3 linked regions of the Drosophila melanogaster genome follow. The protein of the gene in region 1 binds, or shares a complex with, the protein of each later gene. Each region holds a gene or a part of one and is shown on either strand. Other genes may lie near its edges.

What was found. The genes of interacting proteins can lie anywhere in the genome.
Region 2: Lamtor2 (region 1) and Lamtor4 share a complex: the UniProt entries of both Drosophila melanogaster proteins name them as parts of the ragulator complex.
Region 3: Lamtor2 (region 1) and Lamtor3 share a complex: the UniProt entries of both Drosophila melanogaster proteins name them as parts of the ragulator complex.

The regions. Positions count from the first base shown.
Region 1 is NT_033778.4:18,444,835-18,451,627, forward strand, and holds Lamtor2 (late endosomal/lysosomal adaptor, MAPK and MTOR activator 2), read left to right. Parts: upstream 1-1,713; 5' UTR 1,714-1,803; coding exon 1,804-1,871; intron 1,872-1,929; coding exon 1,930-2,116; intron 2,117-2,183; coding exon 2,184-2,306; 3' UTR 2,307-2,632; coding exon of another isoform or gene 2,633-2,777; 3' UTR 2,778-2,879; coding exon of another isoform or gene 2,880-2,919; intron 2,920-2,973; coding exon of another isoform or gene 2,974-3,050; intron 3,051-3,106; coding exon of another isoform or gene 3,107-3,216; intron 3,217-3,266; coding exon of another isoform or gene 3,267-4,037; intron 4,038-4,092; coding exon of another isoform or gene 4,093-4,534; 3' UTR 4,535-4,586; downstream 4,587-6,793. Other genes in the region: Prp19 (Pre-RNA processing factor 19), read right to left, coding at 2,633-2,777, 4,638-5,991, 6,056-6,074; CG30120 (uncharacterized protein), read left to right, coding at 2,880-2,919, 2,974-3,050, 3,107-3,216, 3,267-4,037, 4,093-4,534; rswl (roswell), read left to right, coding at 6,542-6,793. UniProt on the Drosophila melanogaster protein: Regulator of the TOR pathway, a signaling cascade that promotes cell growth in response to growth factors, energy levels, and amino acids. As part of the Ragulator complex, may activate the TOR signaling cascade in response to amino acids.
Region 2 is NT_037436.4:3,895,207-3,897,998, reverse strand, and holds Lamtor4 (late endosomal/lysosomal adaptor, MAPK and MTOR activator 4), read right to left. Parts: upstream 1,100-2,792; 5' UTR 1,063-1,099; coding exon 908-1,062; intron 852-907; coding exon 644-851; downstream 1-643. Other genes in the region: Ccz1 (Caffeine, calcium, zinc sensitivity 1), read left to right, coding at 59-540; Gr63a (gustatory receptor 63a), read left to right, coding at 1,396-1,605, 1,666-1,815, 1,891-2,792. UniProt on the Drosophila melanogaster protein: Regulator of the TOR pathway, a signaling cascade that promotes cell growth in response to growth factors, energy levels, and amino acids. As part of the Ragulator complex, may activate the TOR signaling cascade in response to amino acids.
Region 3 is NT_033779.5:17,479,466-17,482,537, forward strand, and holds Lamtor3 (late endosomal/lysosomal adaptor, MAPK and MTOR activator 3), read left to right. Parts: upstream 1-1,765; 5' UTR 1,766-1,868; coding exon 1,869-1,912; intron 1,913-1,990; coding exon 1,991-2,321; 3' UTR 2,322-2,572; downstream 2,573-3,072. Other genes in the region: fws (four way stop), read right to left, coding at 1-777, 831-1,436; GCS2beta (glucosidase 2 beta subunit), read right to left, coding at 2,982-3,072. UniProt on the Drosophila melanogaster protein: Regulator of the TOR pathway, a signaling cascade that promotes cell growth in response to growth factors, energy levels, and amino acids. As part of the Ragulator complex, may activate the TOR signaling cascade in response to amino acids.

The sequences.
Region 1 (6,793 bases):
CCCATACTCGAAACTCTTTCAGTTGCAGAACTTTATGTTATCATTCTTTTAAAGTTTTGTTTCACATTGAGCGCGCGCTGTGATCGAACATGAAGATAATATATATCGAATATATAGTTGTACACATGTGTATTTTTATACTTGTGTTTCCTATGCGGACATGTTTAGCATGTAAATAAGAGTGTAATTAAGTTTAGCTAGCACAACAACAGCCAGATACAAGCCATGCGTATGTATTCTAAACTTCAGCTTACAGATCAGCCAGCGCACCGCGAAAACGGAGCATCGGAAAAATTCGCTATAAATCTATAAATCTTTTACCTGGTCCTCAAATCTTACTTGCTATATCGAAACACGGCCCTGATATAATGTTTCACCCTCATTAAATCCAACACACATCCCACTTTGCACCCAAACAAAACAAAACAAAACAAACAAACCCATAATGAAAGGCTACACCAAACAATGTCATATAGAGGGGGGACATCCCCGATGTATTTTTGTCAAAGTGTACATAATACTTAGCGGTAGTAATATTTAATTAACAATAAGACTCCATCAATATTGCGATATCATGTACCATGCAGTACGTAGGCTACTGCTCGCCCCCGTGGCGAACGTTGGTTTGCTCGGTTTACATTACCCAAGACTAAATTTGGTTGAATCTAAGTTAATAAATAAATTTCTAATGCAACACAATCGACTTTTCATTCGTACCATTCGACTCCTGGCGCAGATCATCCACGGCGTACTTGCCAATGACCCAGTTTCTTGAATTTGCAGCCAAACAAACCCTGTCCCTGCTCCGAAATTTCTCGAGAAGATGGGGGGCAGGCAGGCAGCCAGGCGGTGGTGCTGAGTCATGCGCAATTTGCAATCCCAAAATGCACCCTGCTAACCAGGATTTTCGGCTAACTGCGTAGCACCAGCGTTCAAAAGTACAGGTATTCGGACGCTGAGGCGTTTCGAATTTGGTGGTGGTTGAAAGTAACTACTGCTTGTGGCTCTGGCCCCGTGGAGTGCTGATGCATCGCATGAAGGTAGTGGATGAACGGAGGAGAGAGGGAGAGTGCAGCTCTGCTGCGTAATAGATCCGTGACCTGGTTTGCCAATGACGTCACCAAATACGCCTTTAAATTCTCGTTATGCGGAAGTTATGTATGGAACGCAGATAGCTTGGCTGCCATTTTAGCAATTGAATGGGCGAGATAAGTGCCTCTGAAGAAAGTAACTGATAGAACGAAGCATAACTATTTGGGGATTATGGTCTGAGTCAGCATTTGTAAGTAGGGGATAGAAATATTAAAAACAAAAAATATAAAAACATTTTTTAGGTGCTTGGAATAAATTAAAAGCTTGAGTTTATTTGGTGTGTTCAAGTTAACTATGCAGTTATTGTTTGGAAAATTTGAAAAGTTATAAAATCCTCTATAAATTCAAATATTGCGTTTTCATTACGTTAATATCTAATTTGTAAATGGTATATTCTCTTAAAAAACGTATCTCTTTGTTTCTATATTATTATCAAGTTACGAAACCAAAGAAAAAAAATGAATGTTTCCTATTTCCCAACCGAAAACATATAATAATAAATATTGATTACAAAAACGAATCATCTTAATTTGAAAAATTCATTTGTTTATATACTTTAAATCGTCATATAGATGGCGCTACATTTGCCATTGTCACTCACAGCGCAACGCGCACACCTTATCAGCTGAATTTGTTGCCATTCAGAATGCAGTGTTTGTGAAGGCGTAGTTCTGTTGTTTTTTATATTTTCCCTCTTTAAAAATACACAAAATGTTGAAACCCAAAGCTTTGACGCAGGTTCTCAGCCAGGCGAACACCGGCGGAGTGGAGAACACCCTGTAGGATAGTCCCTTACCATGCCATTCCTTCAAATATCACTTATCCCTGCATCCACAGCCTGCTCAGCCAGGAGGGAGCTCTATTGGCCTACTCCGGTTATGGCGATAAGGATGCCAGGATAACGGCGGCCATAGCCAGCAACATATGGGCGGCCTACGAGAAGCATGGACGCAACGCCTTTCGCGAAGGTCGCCTCACTTTCGTGCTCATCGATTGTGAAAACGGTCATGTGGCCATCACACAGGTGGGTGATCCTCTTTTTTTTAGCAGGGATTCGTTCTATAAAATCTTAACTATATTCCTTTTTACAGGTTGCCAGTGTCCTTTTGTGCCTGTACGCCAAGCAAACGGTGGGATTGGGTCTTCTGAAGCAAAAGGCCATGTCACTGGCCTCCTATTTGGAGCGACCGCTTAAGCAGATCTCGGCCTCATAAGGATAAAACAATGATGTACCAAGTTCCGAAATGAATAAGTTAATAAGTGTATGCATCAAAAGTGAATCAAATGAATATGAATAGTCTGCGGAAAAGTTTAAACGATAATATATTAGTACTTGAAATTATGAATCTTTAAGGATTTTGTTAGTATTTAAGGAAAAACTTGTCTGCTGGTTTCCAAAAGTAACCCAAAGATATTTCGTATTCTGAATTATTTGGATAGAGGGTCAGGTTTATTATTCTGCAAGATTTGTTCAAGAAAACACACAATCATTAGGGAATATTGTATAAGAAAATTTTGGACTTAATTACTAAGTGTGGACTTATTCGATGGCGTAGAGCTTCAGGGTGCGGTCCATGCTGGTGGATGCCAGATACTGGGCGTGCTTGCCGAATCTCACGCCCGTTGCCAGGGCCGTGTGGTCGTTGAATACCTTCAGTTCCTGCCACTGCTTGCACAGGTAAACCCTGTAAATAAAACGAAGCAACCGTCAGAATTTGTATTTGTACCGTGGCAACCAAATAAACAAGTTAACTAAGGGAATCTTCTTTGGCGAATTTAACTTAACAATGCGAAAGTTTAAAAGAAAAGTTTACCGCGAATATGAAAGTAAGTATTATATTCTAATATGCGAAGACTTAAAAATGCATGCTGCTCTTCAAGATTTCGTGCGACCCAAGACCCATGTGGAACCGGAGCCTCCAAAGCCCATAAACTTATCGATTGAGGACTTCAATGCGGTGCGAAATAATTAATTTTTATATTTCCAAAGTTAAGTTTTATTAATATTCCTCAGCGCGGAGAGATCGCCAATCCCCGTGCTCCTTGTGTGGTCACCACCATCGATCCCGATTATATTAAGGACGCCAGTGCGCAACGTTTGGCCAGAAAATTTCGCATGAAAACGTAAGGAATCAAATGAATTATGTGCTGGTGCAATTTCACAGCTTTTTCAGGGACATCCTACTCTTGAGGGAGATTACCCGCAATCGCTTTATGTACTATGCTACGCAAGAACTTTTTTTGGACCGAAAACGCGAGAAGGAATACCAAGACAATGTATACGAAAAGGCCGAGGAGTTTCACAAGTTTGCAGAGGAGTCGCTCAAGAAAATGGAAGCGGAGGAGTTTAAGAAAATGTTAGAGGCCCAAGAAAAGCTGAAGACACTGAAGGAAAGCAAACTGAGCGAAGAGCTGAACGAGGTGAAGCTGGAGCATCAGCGAGTGCTGATGGAAGTGCAGGAGGTCTACGGTCGCTTTCAGTATTTACTCAAACTGATCAGCTACTTTGATGACACAGTTGAGGAGGAGCAAACCGAGGGAGACGATGCCAGCAATAGGCTTAGCATGCCGCAGGAAATCGTAGCCATGGAGATCACCGAACGACATCCAGCGGGTCTCGAGCAAGTGCGTCAAGTCCAAGACTACATGGAGAAGATAGTGCGTCCGTATTTGGCAAAGCGGAATCATCTCAATGCAGAGATTTGGATACGTGGCTATGAGAGAAATCGCTTAAAGGTGTCCAACTACAACAGGCGCTTTTCTCAGTTGGCAATCTTGAACCACATCGTAGCCATCCTCCATGACAAGGCCCAGAAGACGTACGAGCGTCAGGTGAAAGCCAATGTGTTCCTCAAGGATCCCGAGTTCCTGCAGCGACGGGTGGCAGGTCTTCAGGAGCGTGCCAAGGGTCTATTAAATGACTTCGAGCAGAGATACTGCAAGGAGTGAGTTGGGATGCGTACATATTTGAATCAACTATTTTATATTCTTAATTTCCAGCAAGCTGAATATCAAGCTAAATGCTATTGTACCAATTATTCTCAAGCAAATCCAAAACAAAGTTAAGCCGGAGCAAAAGCGAGAGGTTACGCAGCCGCCATCCAAGCCAGCAGCCCAGAAGTCGTCCAAGCAATGGCGAACACTGGAAGACATGCAGCCTCCACCACCGCCACCCAAGTCTACATACGCGGACGAACAGGACACGACTCTTGCCAAGGTGGAGAAAATCCAGGGCTACGTTTTGGAGCTCTTGGCTAAACTGGACCACATCGAACCGAGCAAGCTGCGAAGTGTCGAGCAGCAGGTTCGACGTCGCATGGCAGCGGAGAAGGAAATGTCTCGCCGTGCGTTAGTCAAGCAGAACCGGCTACACAACTGGATGGCGCATTTCAAGAAGCATCATGATCAGCAGGTTGAGCAACGATGGAAAAATAAAGTCTAAGCTAGACAACAACACCATACTTAAAACATTAAATGAATACAATTTAAAACTTATTTTAACCTCATTCTGAATGATTTCAATAAGAAAAGTACAATTCACTTACCTGACATCGCTGCCGGCGATAGCCAGATAGGTTCCGCTTTGGTCGAAGCACAGATCCTTGACCTCGTAGCCGTCATCAAGCTGGATTGTCTTAAAGTTCTTCAGCTTTCGCAGATCCCACAGCTTAACGCAGGCATCATCTGCAGCGGTGGCCAGGTAGTAACCGTTCTCCGAGAAGGAGATGGCCGAAATGGGACCGGTATGACCAGGGAAGTTGGCCACATTGCTCTGCTCCTTCAAATCCCAGATCTTAACCTGCGAGTCCACGGTGCCCGTACCGAAGATCAGACCATCAGGATGGAATTGCGCTGTCGTCAGCCCGACTTCGGCGGTATCGATTACCTTGGTGAGCAGGCGTCCTGTGCGGATATCGGAGAATGCCCAGTGTTTGTCGGATGATGTGGACAGCAAGTAGTCGCCAGTGGGGTGCAGCGAAAGGCCAGTAACAGGTCCTTCGTGGCAGCGCAGGAGAAGCTGCGTCTGCGAAGTGGGCACGTGCCAGATGCGTATGTTCATGTCGGGCGAGCCGGTTATGACTGTATCCTCGTTAGGATGATATATGACTTTGGTGATCTTCTTGGTGTGTCCCTTCAGGATGGCCACCATCTGCTCTGTGTCCTTGTTGAACACGGTGGCGTTTTTATCGTTGCCTCCGGTCAGAATCTTACTGTGATCAGCACTGTTGATGTCCAAGGCCAGAATGCCGGGAACGGAGGCCGAGTGTAGGCCGGGATGGGATGCCACAGTAAGGAAGTTCTTAACCTGATCCGTTGTAACCAGATCCTCGGGCACAGTGCGTCCGCGCTTCTTACGCTCCTGCGTCAGCACCGTGGCCTTGTCCTGCAGTTTCTGTATGACCTCGGCGCTCATGCCCGCCTGCTCCATGGGATGGGCAGCAGCTCCGCCAGCCTCAGAGGCCAGGGCCGGTTGTGGTATTGCCGTGGGTGCGTTGGCAATGCCCGCCTGCGGTTTCAACGTGGCCAGAGCTTCGCGAGCGGCGGCCACCTCCTTATTGAGGCGGGCAATCACACGACAGGCGGCATCGTGCTGATACAGCGCATGGGACAACTCCTGGCGCGTCGTTTGCAGCTGCTGGCGTTGTGTGAACGAGTGAATCATGAGGGCGTCCCACTCGTCCTGCATCGTTTTCAAAGTGGCCGGAATGCTGGTGGCACTTGGCGGTTTCGGTTTCACCACAGCCGGCGTCTTGATCTCGATCAGCTCCTCCGGCTTCAGCTCCTTGCCGCTAATGGGATCGCAGCCATTCTCTAACAGATACTTCTCAATCACCCGCTTTTCGAAAACGGCTCCCGAGTGCGGGGAAACCACGGGCGTCTCGGGGACTTCGTTTGTCACTTGGAATGGAAAGTGCGATTCATAATGGCCCAATTCAAATCAAAATCTAAATTATTCACTTACGTGCGCAAACCAAAGCCATTGCTGTTTGTGATTATGTCGCTTTTCGCGTAGTCTTGTTGGTAAATTAAATGTTTTACACGTTTTTCCCGAGCCAAGCGCAAAATTGTCGGCAAAGCCGCTTCTTCTTATTATGCCAGTTACTCGGCGACGCGGGAGTTTCGAGCACAGGGCTGCCAGATCAAATGGATTTTGGCTAGAAATTTGCACAGAAAAAACTAGCTAGAATTTAAACAATTTATTTTATTGATAACACAACACATTCAATAAGTATTTAATCCATAACAATAGTTTTTATAGATAAATGACATTTACTGATAGAGAAGTGAGTAACATATCTTAAATCAATCAGCTATCTCACCGTTTTGCCAATCACAGTTCCGCACGCACAATCCATAATTGCTGGCAACCCTAGCACGTTGTTTCTGTTATTCAATTCACGATCTAGTTTTATAACATAGTTTACTGCCATTAAGGTATATTTTTAAAATGCTGAAGCATTTTGCACGATGGCGTCTGGGCAGCCAGTTGCTAAAGGGATGTGCCGCACCAGTGAGGCAAGCCTCCAAAACCTCCAGCGCAGAGAACCTGATAGCCGGCACAGAGGAACCCCAAAAAAAGTTCGTCAATCCGTTTTCCCAGCCCGCTCCTGCGTTAAGTAATGATACGATATCAGAGAACAAGGAGGAACGGGATAAGCGACTCAAGGTGCTGCAGCTGGAGGCGGACATTGCCCACCAG
Region 2 (2,792 bases), on another chromosome or scaffold:
TTAAGGATTAGAACTAAATAGCCAAAATAATCAACTTGAAACATTCCACATTTGTCAGCTGACCAGGTTGCGCCGAAACAAGATCTCTACGACGATCTCCATGCCTACATGGCTCCCCAACTGACTTCGTTGGCCCGGGACATATCCAGCGAGTTGACAAAGGAGGCGGTGGGTGCTGCAGGCCAGGACAACTCCAGCGGGAACAGCGAAACGGCGCCGAAGTACTTGTTCATTAACGAACAAAGCCTGCAGCACCACACGAACTTTCAGAGGCACCTGCCCCAAGGGCTGCCCCGCAATGTGCTTAGTATCATTGCGGACTTGGCCAATGGCAGTGGCAAGGCGGAAATGGAGAGTGCTCCTGCCGAGGAAGTTCAGGTCAAGACCACCAATGACTATTGGATTGTGAAGCGGCGCTGTAACTACAGGCAGTACTATGTGATCCTGTGCAATAGCAAGGCCACCTTGCTGGACGTCACCCAGGAAGCGAGGCGCATTTTCGAGCAAGAGCTCACAGATGATGTATTTTTTGACAAATAAAGAGGAGGATTAGGTAAATAATGGGAGTGCGCCAATTGTGGGGTCTTTGTCCGGTTGCTTGCCAACAGAATCTGCAAGTGGGTCGGACATCCGACGACGGATTTCAAGCCAGCACTGCCCCGGAATCGCTGGCATCGTTATACACGCTGTTCGACGAGGAGGAGCTCGTGGTCGTGGTGACGCCATTCTGCGATTTGCTGATCTTAATGATGTATATTCTACGGTTGGACATGCAGATGCTGTAGTAGTGATGCTCGTAATCGATGGTGATCCTCTCGCAGCTGCTGCTCGGCATGAAGGACTCGTCGATGCTACAATATAGGCGTAATTATTACAAAATTCCTTCATCCTTTGTTTAAAAACGCACGTCTCTGTGAGATTTAGTAATCCCATTATCACATTTGCACTGCGCTCATCGTTCTTCAGATCTCCGCCGGACTCCAGAACTGCTCCATCTTCCTTTAGTATCAGATAGCCAATTTGATTGGGCACAATCAACTTTTCCCTGTCCATTTTCAACATATTTATTTATTTATCTTTCGCACCCACACCCACCAGTGTGACCGGACTAGATCCATTTAGATACCAAATCGGTAGCCTGGCAGCCCGGTTTCAGTGTTGTAAATTGCCACATGCGCGCCATTGACACAAATTCGAAATTGGGACACCGGGCTAAGGTTAATTCATTCAAAAGACAAACAACGCACATCAACAGGAAACTAAAACTCCGGCTCTAAGTCAACAGAGGGCGTGGTCGATAAGGGGGCGTGTGCAGGTGCATGGCTAATGCGTCCGTCTGGCGAAAAAGTGGTAAAAGGCCACGGACAAGGAAATTCCGGACACAGTCTCTCCGGAATGGCCAACTACTATCGACGCAAGAAGGGTGACGCGGTGTTCCTCAATGCAAAACCGCTGAACAGTGCTAATGCCCAGGCATACTTGTACGGGGTCCGCAAGTACTCCATTGGATTGGCGGAGCGATTGGATGCGGATTACGAAGCTCCTCCGTTGGATAGGAAAAAGAGCTCGGACAGCACGGCGTCCAATAATCCGGAATTTAAGCCGGTTTGTGGATTGCTACGCTGTTAAAACCATTTTTGTAAAACTGAATTTCGCTGCTTTCAGAGTGTTTTCTACCGAAACATAGATCCCATCAATTGGTTCTTGAGGATTATTGGAGTATTACCCATCGTGCGACATGGTCCTGCTCGTGCCAAGTTCGAAATGAACTCCGCCTCCTTTATTTACTCGGTGGTTTTCTTTGTGCTCCTGGCGGTGAGTGTGGTGTTTGCATAACATTTTTCAAAATTGACTATGGATACCATTATGTAACCCAAAACCGCTTTACAGTGCTATGTAGGCTATGTGGCCAACAACCGCATCCACATTGTGCGCTCCCTGAGTGGACCCTTCGAGGAGGCGGTTATTGCATACCTCTTTCTGGTCAACATCCTGCCCATTATGATTATACCAATATTGTGGTACGAGGCCAGGAAGATAGCAAAGCTCTTCAATGATTGGGATGACTTTGAGGTGTTGTACTACCAGATATCCGGGCACAGTTTGCCTCTGAAATTGCGACAGAAGGCGGTGTACATAGCCATCGTGCTGCCAATTCTCTCGGTTTTATCGGTGGTCATCACGCACGTCACCATGTCGGATTTGAACATTAACCAGGTGGTGCCCTACTGCATCCTGGACAACTTGACTGCAATGCTGGGTGCCTGGTGGTTCCTCATCTGCGAGGCCATGAGCATTACGGCTCATCTTCTGGCGGAGCGGTTCCAGAAGGCACTGAAACACATTGGACCCGCTGCCATGGTGGCAGACTACCGTGTTCTGTGGCTACGACTGAGCAAGTTGACCCGTGATACTGGAAATGCCCTGTGCTACACCTTTGTTTTCATGAGCCTCTACTTGTTCTTCATCATTACCCTTTCGATTTATGGACTAATGTCGCAACTCTCCGAGGGATTTGGCATCAAGGACATAGGACTGACTATCACGGCTTTGTGGAACATAGGACTGCTCTTCTATATTTGCGATGAGGCACATTATGCCTCGGTTAATGTGCGAACCAATTTCCAGAAGAAACTACTCATGGTGGAGCTTAACTGGATGAACTCGGATGCCCAGACGGAGATAAATATGTTTTTGCGAGCCACCGAAATGAATCCATCGACCATCAACTGCGGTGGCTTTTTTGATGTGAACAGGACTCTCTTTAAAGGACTCTTAACCACAATGGTCAC
Region 3 (3,072 bases), on another chromosome or scaffold:
CAGATTGGGCAGATCCACGACCTGCTTGGAATCAGCTCCCAGCTTGATTTGAGCCTCTAGTTTTGTGCACAACTCTTTTCCACAGGCCGCAAATACATTTGCTATGGCATTCGTGAGACGGGAATCGATCAAAGCAGCACTGAGCTCCGTTGATGCCACACGAATAAAGTTGTCCACCGTTTCGTTGCCGGGCAAATCGACTCCCGCCAGACATGCCTTAAAGTTGGCAGCACACTTGCTAACGTAACCCACTTCCAGGGGAGCAAATAGTTCGTTGTCAAACTGAAACTCGCCATGCAGACGCTGCTCCAAGCCACGAGCGGAGGTCAGGAGCTTTGAGAGCCCCTCCTGAAGGGTCTGCGTAACATGCTGGGGGCATTCGTCAAAGGATTTTCGCAGGAGCTGCTGCACCTGCTGCCAAAAACGCTGCGGAATGCACTGATCCGATGATTCTGATGTATAGCCAAACTGGTTGATCTGCTCGAGAGCCGTTTTCAGCAGCTTGATTTGCGTGCAAGTCTCAAAAAGTTCATCATAGAGCAGCCAATGAAGAGACTTCCAGAACTTGGCACGGAAGTTTTGAGTGGTTGTCAACTGGGGAGTTTTTCCTGGTCCCCTCGAGGGAGCAGGTTTGCTCACATTGTGCGTCGGGGACTTGTTCAGCACAGATATATCGTTGCCAGCAAAGCACTCTTTCAGAGATTGCTCCATGTCGGCAATAAAGGTGGCCAATAGGTTATCCAGCGATTTTTCCAGCGTATTGAAATTCATAAAGATCTAAGGAATAAGAACTCTTAGGTATATGCTAGAAAAATGTTTGTTATATCCACCTTCAAGGCATTAACCACTTGGTTTTCATTGCGCTCCTGGAGCCCAGTGACCAACTGCATCTGCGTGAGGTTCCTTATCTTCTGAGCAGAGCTGATCACATAAGCTCGCTCCTGCTGGATAAAATCAATGTCCTTTAGCTCCTTATCTTCGATGAGTTGGCCCAACTCAAAGTGGATTTCGGCCAGGCGTAGGACATCCTTGGTCGCTTTTAGTTTGGCCGTGAGGCTCAGCAATGTTCCAGCCGAGCGGAGTAGGTGACTGACATCGTGCAGACGCCCTAGCACTTGCGTTTGGTTCTCCACCTGCTGGTACTGCGTGTCCACCTGGTTCTTCAGCCGGTGCCCAGTTTCCCTGACCCGCTGCACATCCTCGGCGAGCGCGTTTAAAGCCGCATCGAAGCGCCCAGCGTGGGTGGCCTGCTGCAGTAGAGCTCCGTGCTTGTCGCGCACCTGCTGGTGCAGCTCCTCCTTCGTGTTCTGCAGTTGCTTGGACAGCTCCTGGATTTGCTGGCCAATGGTCAGGTGCGACATGGATGCGGTAAAGTCATTATCATCCGAATCCGCTGCGTTTGGGGTCTTTGTCGCTACCGGGTCTCCAGTCACCATGATGCAGAAGGTTTTAATCTATGGTAATACGAATTATAAGCTGGTATTACACTTTTATTTCCATTACTTGCAGCAATTTTACGTATTGCAAACAAACTGTTTTTCCACGCAACCAAAAACAGGCTGTAATCGATAAATTTCCAGTTGAGCGGGGATTGAATTTTTTGAAGGGGTTTCTAAAAAACTATATAAAGTATTGCGTGATAGCTTAATAATATAATATTTAAATAATAATGTTAAAAACTAGCCGCATCCTTTTTCCGCTTGCTGAAAATATTTTACTTCGACCGCCGACTACGCCCCTGCCACATGAACTTATCGATAACTTGAGGCAGCTGTTGCTCACTTTGTTTTGTGTAAATAATTGGATGCGGAGAAAAACGTATTATTATTGCCATACCTTCTCTAGTCTTTCGCTTTAACAAATTTTCCATGTCGGACGACATCAAGAAGTATTTAGACGGCCTGCTGCAAAAGTAAATATTCCACAGGAAAGGCTGTTCCCAATATGATTAACTTATAATTTTTCCCCCATTCCCCGATTTACACAAAAGGGTCAGCGGGCTGTACGTTATTCAGATTACGGATCGCGACGGAGTGCCCCTCCTGCGGGTTAGCCAGGAGAAGAACGTGGACTTCGCCCTGATGCCCTCGTTCATACCCACATTCACCACCGCCTGCGATCAGGCCAGCAAACTGGGATTGGGCAGAAACAAGACCATCATCTCCATGTACTCCAATTACCAGGTGGTCCAGATGAACAAGCTGCCGCTCATCCTGACCTTTGTGGGCGCGGAGAACTGTAACACGGGACACATTCTCGCACTGGAGCACCAGGTCGATGGCTATTTGGAGGACATTAAACAGGCTGTCACCGAGGCCTAAAGTTAGTCTACCTTGTAATATGCATATTTTTAATATTTACTAAATGTTTATACATACATACTTTATTGAGAACAGAATGAGTTTTTAAAAATCTCAACTCACCATTGTACTATTCCGGGAATTTATTTCATATCCTGCGAAGGGTGATCTCAAAGATGAACAAAGTTCCGAGTCCTCCGTTTTGGCAACAATATCAAATATGCAAACTATTGACACTTTATTTAAAATGAAAAATTCTTGCTGCCTAAAATGTGTACATTCAATTAAATTTCTTCATATAGTTTCTCAATTATAATATACTTTTCCCTATACCTTGAAATCGTCTGTGCTCAAGTATCACGAAAGTAAAATATTTGTATGTTTGAGCTCAAGGAAACCGACTTTAAATCAACATTTTCATTCAGTGATGTTATCTGTTTTAAAAATACTAGGTGTTTACACTTTATTCAGAATGAAACTTGATGTACTTTTTGCTTAAATGCATATACTGAGTTAATTAGCTACAATTCTTGATGGTTTTCCTGCTGCAGTTTGGGAATGATCTCGACAAAATTGATATTCTCCTTTAAAACTAAAATACAATCCCCAAATCTCTGGTCTACGCATGCCAAGCATTCACATTTCTCTGCGGCTCATCCTCATCGTCGATTGTTGAACATTTCAGAGTTCGTCGTGCAGATTCTCCGATTCGGACTGGAAAGCTTCGCTGTCGCAGGCGGCGGGAGTTTCGAATTCAAAGTAGTATTCACAG